Linked DNA regions of Bombyx mori. The protein of the gene in region 1 purifies or fractionates together with the protein of each later gene. This does not show direct contact. Links are inferred from orthologs where the notes say so. Each region holds a gene or a part of one and is shown in the gene's direction. Other genes may lie near its edges. The genes, in order: mitochondrial import inner membrane translocase subunit TIM50-C and histone deacetylase 6.

Evidence for each region.
Region 2: the proteins of mitochondrial import inner membrane translocase subunit TIM50-C (region 1) and histone deacetylase 6 purify together in Homo sapiens (affinity purification with mass spectrometry; 3 studies listed by BioGRID and IntAct, counting the BioPlex papers as one, with this or other methods). This does not show direct contact. The link is inferred for Bombyx mori from reciprocal best matches to the Homo sapiens genes TIMM50 and HDAC6.

Annotation. Positions count from the first base shown.
Region 1 is NC_085127.1:1,725,120-1,729,718, forward strand, and holds the start of mitochondrial import inner membrane translocase subunit TIM50-C, read left to right. Parts: upstream 1-1,589; 5' UTR 1,590-1,729; coding exon 1,730-1,868; intron 1,869-2,233; coding exon 2,234-2,411; intron 2,412-3,270; coding exon 3,271-3,442; intron 3,443-3,770; coding exon 3,771-3,904; intron 3,905-4,599. UniProt on the Homo sapiens protein: Essential component of the TIM23 complex, a complex that mediates the translocation of transit peptide-containing proteins across the mitochondrial inner membrane. Has some phosphatase activity in vitro; however such activity may not be relevant in vivo.
Region 2 is NC_085111.1:17,643,064-17,646,893, forward strand, and holds part of histone deacetylase 6, read left to right. Parts: intron 1-697; coding exon 698-900; intron 901-1,232; coding exon 1,233-1,301; intron 1,302-2,109; coding exon 2,110-2,302; intron 2,303-2,904; coding exon of another isoform or gene 2,905-2,964; intron 2,965-3,004; coding exon 3,005-3,064; intron 3,065-3,830.

The DNA of each region.
Region 1 (4,599 bases):
ATGATAATAATATGAAATGGAATGAAGATGATTAATTTGAGACGTTAATCAACTGGAATGAAATTAAATGAAATGAGATGAGATGATATGGAATGAAATGTAATTTCAGTAAAATGGTAGTCATTTACTGACATTTTTGTTGTGAAACATCTATAGCCGCACGTAAAACCGATTGCTGGCGTGGCGACGCATGCCGTAGCGACGCGTCGCCACGCTATATGATGATATATATATAGTGTCTATATGCAGTAGTGTGTATGGTGTGGCGACACGTCGCCATGCGCAATCGACTGTGCGATTCTCTCCCACTCGATCCGGCGTTAAGCCATCTCTCTCGCTACACTGAGCTCGGATACCTATAGTGTATACTCTGTAGTGTATACAGTGTCATTTTTTGTTTACTACAGTACACATAACCTGTGTTTTACTTGAAAACAAATTATTTTTTCGTAACATTTTATTTTATCATTATGACATATTTAGTTCCTGTCACAATCTGTTCTTTTCTGCATATTACTTTTACAACATAATGTCGAAGTTTCACATCTGCCAGGCGTCCCGTGACGGCTCACATTTTTTTTTTCAGTGGACTTTTTGGAGGATCTCGAGAAGCTACGTCCAGCGGCTTTGTTTCATTTTCCCACATTTCTGCACTTTCACAGATATTAAACACTTAATAAGCCACCGTTATTACACATTTAAACCTCAAGAAACACTAAATAGACAAAATAAAACAAATCACACAACTTCACTCCTCGCGTTCCCGCCAAAAAGTCTCTTAGAGTAATGTTTTTTTTTTAAGGGATTTTATGACCTGGTAACTAAGACTTTTAGGCCAAGTCTTATTTTAATTTTAATGATACGTAACTTTTTTATATGAAAATGATATTTTGAAATGAAATGAAGTTGAAACAGCATGAAGTGAAATGAAAACGAAATGAAATGACATGAGATGAAGTATAATCTCAGCAAAATGGTGGTCATTTACTGAGATTTTTTCAGTGGAATTTTTGGGAGGATCCCGAGAAGTTACGTCCAGCGGCTTCGTTTCATTTTCCCACATTTGTGCACTTTTACAGATATAAAATAGTTAATAAACCAACGTTATTACACATTTAAACCTGAAGAAACACTAAATAAACAAAATAAAACAAATCACACAACTTCACTCCTCGCGTACCCGCCAAAAAGTCCTTGAGTAATGTTTTTTTAAGGGATTTGATGACCTGGTAACTGAGATCTTTAAGTCATGTCTTATTTTAATGTATATTCATATTTTTATGAAAAATGATATCATAGTGTGAAATGAAATGAAGATGATTAATTTGAGATATTAATCAACTGGGATGAAATAAATGAGATGATATGAGATGAAATATAATCTCAGTAAAATGGTGGTCATTTACTAAGATTTTTTCAGTGGACTTTTTGGAGGATCCCGAGAAGTTACGTCCAGCGGCTTTGTTTCATTTTCCCACATTTGTGCACTTTCACAGATATTAAACAGTTAATAAACCACCATTATTACACATTTAAACCCGAAGAAACACTAAATAGACAAAATAAAACAAATCACACAACTTCACTCCTCGTGTTCCCGCCAAAAAGTCTCCTTGAGTAGTGTGATGTGATCTGCTGCATAGATTATACACTAATCTACTGTTTAGTTTTATTTGCTCGGTTGTGTGTTAGTGAAGTTTCTCAATGCGGATTTTTTTATTACATTGAAATGTATTTCAGGAAATTATTATTTCTGACAAAAACCGCGTGTTGTAAATCTTTAAAGCTAGAGACAAAATGCCACTCAAGACAAAACATTTGGATAATAGCAGCGAATTCGCCAAAATTTTATTCAAATCAAAATTTAGGTTAGTTTTCATTTCCCATAGTTCATAAATTCAGTACGACTTTTTATTACATTGATTTTTTCATGTATTTACAATAAACAAATATGTTGGATGAACAATTTTACGTCATTATTAAATTGAACCCACTAACATCATAGCTTTGTTGACAATACTACACAAGTCAAATCAGTGTAGAAAATGTTTTTTTAGCTATTTACAAAAGCATTACATGTTTGTCAAAATCCGTTTTATATTTATTCAGCTTCTGTCACCTATAAAACAAATAGAATTCTACATTGCCTTATAATATGTACTTTGAAAATAAATAAGTAATAATATAACTTTGATAAATAAAATGCTTTCTTATTGTTAATACAAATTTACAGATGATAGAAGTAAAGATGATAAACCTGAAAAAGTAGATATCTTAGGGAGGTTCTTCCCGCAAGCCCCACAGACACAGGTTGATGCACAGCAGATTAAAAAAGAACAAGAACGTTTTGAGCAAGAAAACAAAGAGAAAACTGAAGAAAATGAAAAAAGTTGGAGAAGAATGAAATTAGGGTAATGTAGTTAACACCAAATTCTTCACAAGCTCCTAAACTTATTTGAACCACTTGAATAAGATGCAGTTTATCTCTTATTTTATTATTTCTTAATTTTCAACCAGCTCTTCAGATATATAACGAAAAATGAAGGGTGTTTTATATTTATGTGGTGTATTATTAGGCGTTATTTATTAACATTTCACTAATACATACAAACATACCTACCGTCTAACTATTTATAAAAATATTTAATGTTTTTTAGGACAAAGAAATTAGAATAGTATAGAAAGGTATCTTGAGATCTGATATTTTACTGACTTTAATTTTCATCTTCACAATAAGAGGAGCTAGATATGCATCAACTATGGCTTCTCGATATAGTCTATAGGTACTAAACATAGTCTCAATGAAAGTTATTTCAATGCCATTGACTGATTATTTTTGCACTTGCAACATGCTCTTTGACTCAGAAATGTACCTCTTAGTCTGTCCTGTGTATGTATGTAAGTATCAATAACAGTACATATAGAGGGGGGAAATGTTATTAGATTTAAGCAACATTTTTGTAACTTTACAGGAGAGCCATGTAAAGCTTAAAACTTGGAAAAAATATGAATAAATATCTTCAGCTATTTGAATAGAGTAAACTGAATTAAAGTTCTATTAAAAACATTGAACTGTTAATACTAATACCAAATAAAATGTACCTTTAATTACAAAGATAAAGGTCGCGTATTAAGCATAATGTCGCTTAGACCAAATAACCTTTTACCCCTCTGTATATATTTCCTATACATAAATAAAAACAAAGCTTCCAATCAACTTTGGAATTTAAAGTGAAACAGAATAAAATAAAAATAATGTTAAATGTTTAGTTTTGCAGTTTTTGGTGGTGGTCTCACAGTAGCAGCGACCTGCCTTGTCATAGAGATGGGCTCACCCCGACGGGATGATGAGGGTCAAATAATAGAGGATGAATTTTCACATCTTCCCATTGTCTTTCAATACCTGAGACGTTCCTGGAAAGAACTCACATTTTATGAAAAGGTAATAAAAATAATTTTATTTATGCATTATTGATATATGCATTTAATTTGAGCACTTAATTTGAAACAATTGGTAGTCAAATATTAAAATGATGATAGTTAAAATAACACCAGAACATTATAAAATTCTTTTGCACTAAAAACGTTTTTAGTGCAAAAATATTTGCCTAATATCCTATCACAGATCATATTATGCAGTTTTAATTGGAATTCAAAGAGGCCACTATTGGCCTATGGTTGAGGTTTAGATTTTATATTGTTACATTCTAAGGAATATGGGATTGGAGATATTGTAAAACTCATAGAAACAGAATATTTTGTTATTATAGATGATAAAGGAGCCATCAAGAGAGAAATTACTTCCAGACCCTTTGCCTCCACCGTACCAGCCTACATACACTCTAGTCTTAGAATTCACAGATGTCCTGGTGCATCCTGATTGGTCTTACCAAACGGGCTGGAGGTCAGTACTATCCCTGCCATGAACATGGCATGGACAACAACAATACTTTAAGAATTAATTAAAGGGGGTCTTAATTTATTTAAAATGATTCTTTAATCATTAATTTTGGTAAAGAATACATTATTCATTGCTTTTGGTGTTGGCCTAGAGCAGCACCTCACTCTCTGTTCTCGTGGGTGTCAAAAGAAGTGAAGATTCCAAGGAGAATGGACGGCAACGTTCTCTGAGTACTACTGCGCCGCACTGAGCCAACTGACCGACATTTGCCACCACGGCTACGACTGTGCTGCCTATTCTTACAGCGAAGCAATCACGCGGTCCGGTTTGAGGACAGACAATTGAGATGTTGACCTCGTATTTTGTGGTCGATGATGGCCTTTTTTTGGCAGCAGTATTGTTGATGATCCAATCACACAAATAGGTTACTTTATGATCCACGGAGGTTGAGTTTAAAGTGCATCTTATGGTGAATGGTCACCAAATTATATGATCTATGATTAATTCGTAGTTAATTTTGTTTCCAAGTAAACTCATACACAATGAAGTTGGTTTTGACTGAGCTTTGTAGAGCTTCGTGGTGATGTAGAAATAAGAATGGTTCGGTTTCATTATGTAATTAGCTCGTACGCGGGTAGACCCCCGGGTCCGGTTGTCTTCCTTCCGCTTAAATAATAACAGTTGGATACTTGGAACAG
Region 2 (3,830 bases), on another chromosome or scaffold:
ACTACACGTGCAAGATAAGAGTCGTAAACAACATCGTCCCACCACGATACCTTGCTATTTTTATAGCATTATACGCTCCGTTGTTGTCTCTCGAGCTCAGAAGCGAGCGAGTCGCCGTATCAGACGGAACGCTCCTGCGTAATATACGCTCCGAGTTAACATTTCTAGACCGCCCGCTTACCATGTCGCTACCCCAAAGTAGAAATACTCCAACATGTATAGCTATGTTGTATTTACATATCCATGGGTGAAAGGCTATGACAGTTCGCTTAATACGCGACATTTATATTTATAATTAAAGGTACGTTTTATTTGGTATTTGCATCATGAGTTCGATGTTTTTAATTGAACTTCAATTAAGTTTACTCCATTGAAATAGCTGAAGAAGTGTTTTTTTGTTATGATATTTTGAGTGTAATGTTGCGAAAATTTCGCTTAAACCAAACATTTAACTTTGTGAAAACAAAATGTAAATTAGATTGTATATTAAAACTTCTCTCTTCCGTGTCCGTCTTTTAATGATGAAATATGTGTAATTGATGTTACTTGGCGTTTGCCAGTATGCTTATACTCACCACAAATATTTGAAGGCCTTAGAAGTTGAAACAAAAGCTCGGCGGGGCCGATTTGGCACTTCCGCATCTATGATTCAAAGCCCGATATCAATTAGCTTACCGCTTCTGTGTCTGTGGTACAGAGCACGCACGAGTTGGCGCTGATATCGGCCGGCTCGACCATCGACATGGTGGACAGCATCGTGTCGGGTGAAGTCCAGAACGGCGCGGCCTTCGTGCGGCCGCCGGGACACCACGCCATGCACTCGGAGCCCTGCGGCTACTGCTTCTACAACAACGTCGCTTTGGCCGCCAAGCACGCCTTGGACAAAAGGGGTCTGCAAAGGTCAGTGAGGCTTACAGACTCGACACGGTATGGGGGTAGTTGAAGATTATGTGAAGTGCACAGTACTACTGGTGGTAGGACCTCTTGTGAGTCCGCACGGGTAGGTACCACCACCCTGCCTATTTCTGCCGTGAAGCAGTAATGCGTTTCGGTTTGAAGGGCGGTCTATCTAATTTTAATTAATATTTTTTTCTCTGAACTACTGTAATTTTTGTATATACTGTAGCATCGACAAACTCTAAGGCTTTGGAGCCATTTTCTTATATAAAAAAAAAGTTCTAGGGCTGAAAAAATTAAAATTATTGAAAGTTAAAAAAATAACGATTTAATAGGATACTGATCGTGGACTGGGACGTTCACCACGGACAAGCCACACAGCAGATGTTCTACGACGATCCCAGGTATACACTTACTTAGTCTTATTAAGCCATTTTTATTTCTTTTTTCAGCGTGGCAAATGGCATTTTAGCCACAGTGGAGTTAAGTTTTAAATAAAGCCCAAAAATATCCAAAAATCATGTTCGTTTGAGATTTAGATTTTTACTTTTGGTATGCCGGAATCGAGAGTAAAATTCAATTTTATTTATTAACATTAAAATATACCTAATGAAATGGCGGGAAATTTACCGAGTGTGACATGGGCTTTTTGGTGAACACGGAAAGTTCGAAAATCTGTTTCTCACAAGAACGTCAGCGATAGCATTTGACAATAGATTTTATTAATTAATACGTGAAGCAAAAGCTTTGTATCCCTTTTTACGAAAATTGCGCGGACGGAGGAGTATAGAATTTCCCACACTTATAGAGAATATAGAGAAGGAGTGCAGAAAGCAATTTTTTTTTTAAATTATGCATTATTAATACATTAAATCAATAAAAAAACATTACACACACTACCATGTATTTGACACACACACCTATGTAGAGTCATTGTCAAACTTTTGTTATTTGTTATTGCATAAAGTCTGTGTTCAAATTGAAAATAAGTTTATAATATTGTTTGTCTTTAATATTATTTGCTTAGAGTGTAGTATTGGCGAAATCAGTGATTATAGAAGTAAAATAGTATTTGATGATAGAACCATAATAATATACAAACTTATGATTTTAATTAATTATAGTCGAATTTCGACTACTGCGGGACCACTAGTTTTATTAATTTCTTGACGAAAAATACATCGTATCGTTAATCCACTGGGACGATTCCAGAGTGGTATACTTCTCGATACACCGCTACGAGCACGGCTCGTTCTGGCCCCAGCTGCGACAGTCCGACTTCCACTACGTCGGCAGCGGCGCCGGTAAAGGATACAATTTCAATGTGCCCCTCAACAAAACCGGGATGAAAGACGGAGACTATTTGGCCATCTGGCACCAGCTGCTTCTGCCCATGGCCTACGAGGTTAGTTAAGTGTCCATCGCACCGACCCTCTCCTGAGTTGCCTTTACTCAGACATATCAGAAATCTAATGGGTTATGTCAGCGCTATGACATGTCCTTCTTCAAACTAGGCTTGTAGAGAGTACTTTACAGTAGGCTGCAGGTTCGCTCTGCCCCTGGCATTGCTGACGTCCATGGGCGACGGCAACTACTCACCATCAGGTGGGCCATATGCTCGTCTGCCTACAAGGGCAATAAAAAAATGTTTTAGGTTTCACGTTGAACTTTTCCAACGACTTTGACCTATGGCAAAGCTGTTGCTAGTGGTAGAACTAATGGCGTCCAATAGCACTGACAGTGTCCAGAATCCATCTGACTAGGGTATTGACCGTGGCTAACTGCTGCATGAGCCGGGTGAGGTCATAGATTCTTTCAAGTTGACTTTCATAATACTTGAACTTATCGGTACTCAAAGGTTCCGAATGTCACCACACTCAAAGTGACCTAACAATCAGCTGACGCGAAGGTCGAGGACCTCACCCGTCGCGGAAGGTTTTACCTCGCCTATAACGACAATGTGTGATATGTTTTTTTTTTAAATAAAATTTTCTCTCAATCATACAGTACCAGCCGGAGTTGATCATAGTATCTGCAGGATACGACGCGGCCATCGGATGTCCCGAGGTACAATGATCTGATTACGCATGTTGTTGATCTATTTCAGTTCGCGCCCCAACTTGTAATAGTTTCGGCTGGTTACGATTCGGCCTTAGGAGATGAAAAGGTTCGATTTTAAACTCTCTCTCTGTGATTTATGAATTGTCATCCATGCCATTAACAATGCTTATAAACTGCCAATTGGAATTGAAATGACGCCTCAGTTATCTTTAAGCATGAGTTTCGGAAAATTAATGCTTTAAATTGCTGTTTTCCAAAAGGTTTGGTACTTAAATTTCTATTATGCAAATTAAAATCAACGGAATGAGGACAATTTTTGAATTGAGATTTAATTGAGAACAGGCGCTGGCCGTCCGGGGTGTTCATATTGAATCTTGTTTTTGAAAGTACACTTAAACTAAATATAATTTTGTTTTGAAGTGAAACTTCTTTAGGCGCGTTGGGAGTAAAATGTAACTCGCGACAGATTCGTTGCGGATAGAGAGAAAAGATACGATTTAGAAAGAGCGAGAGTGAGAAAATAGACAAAGCGCCTCGCGAACCATTTGACCGTGAAGAGGCAATAGGACAAAACGGGCTAGATCGTTTCTCTTATACACAGCATTCTCTATTACAAGAAAAATTTATTTAAGGATGAAAAATTAAGAAAATCAAAGTACACCGCAAAAGAAGTGTCACTTCTTTCACGTGCACCAAGCTGCACGTGCACCATTTTTTTACACCTTGGGTTTCATTGTTGGAGTTTTAGTAAAGGTCCCTAATTTTTTTCAAAAAAGATTACAGCCTATGTCACTCGGGAATAATGTAGCTTCCAAACAGTGAAAGATTTTTTCAAACCGGTTCAGTAGTTTCAGAGCCTGTTCATTACAAAC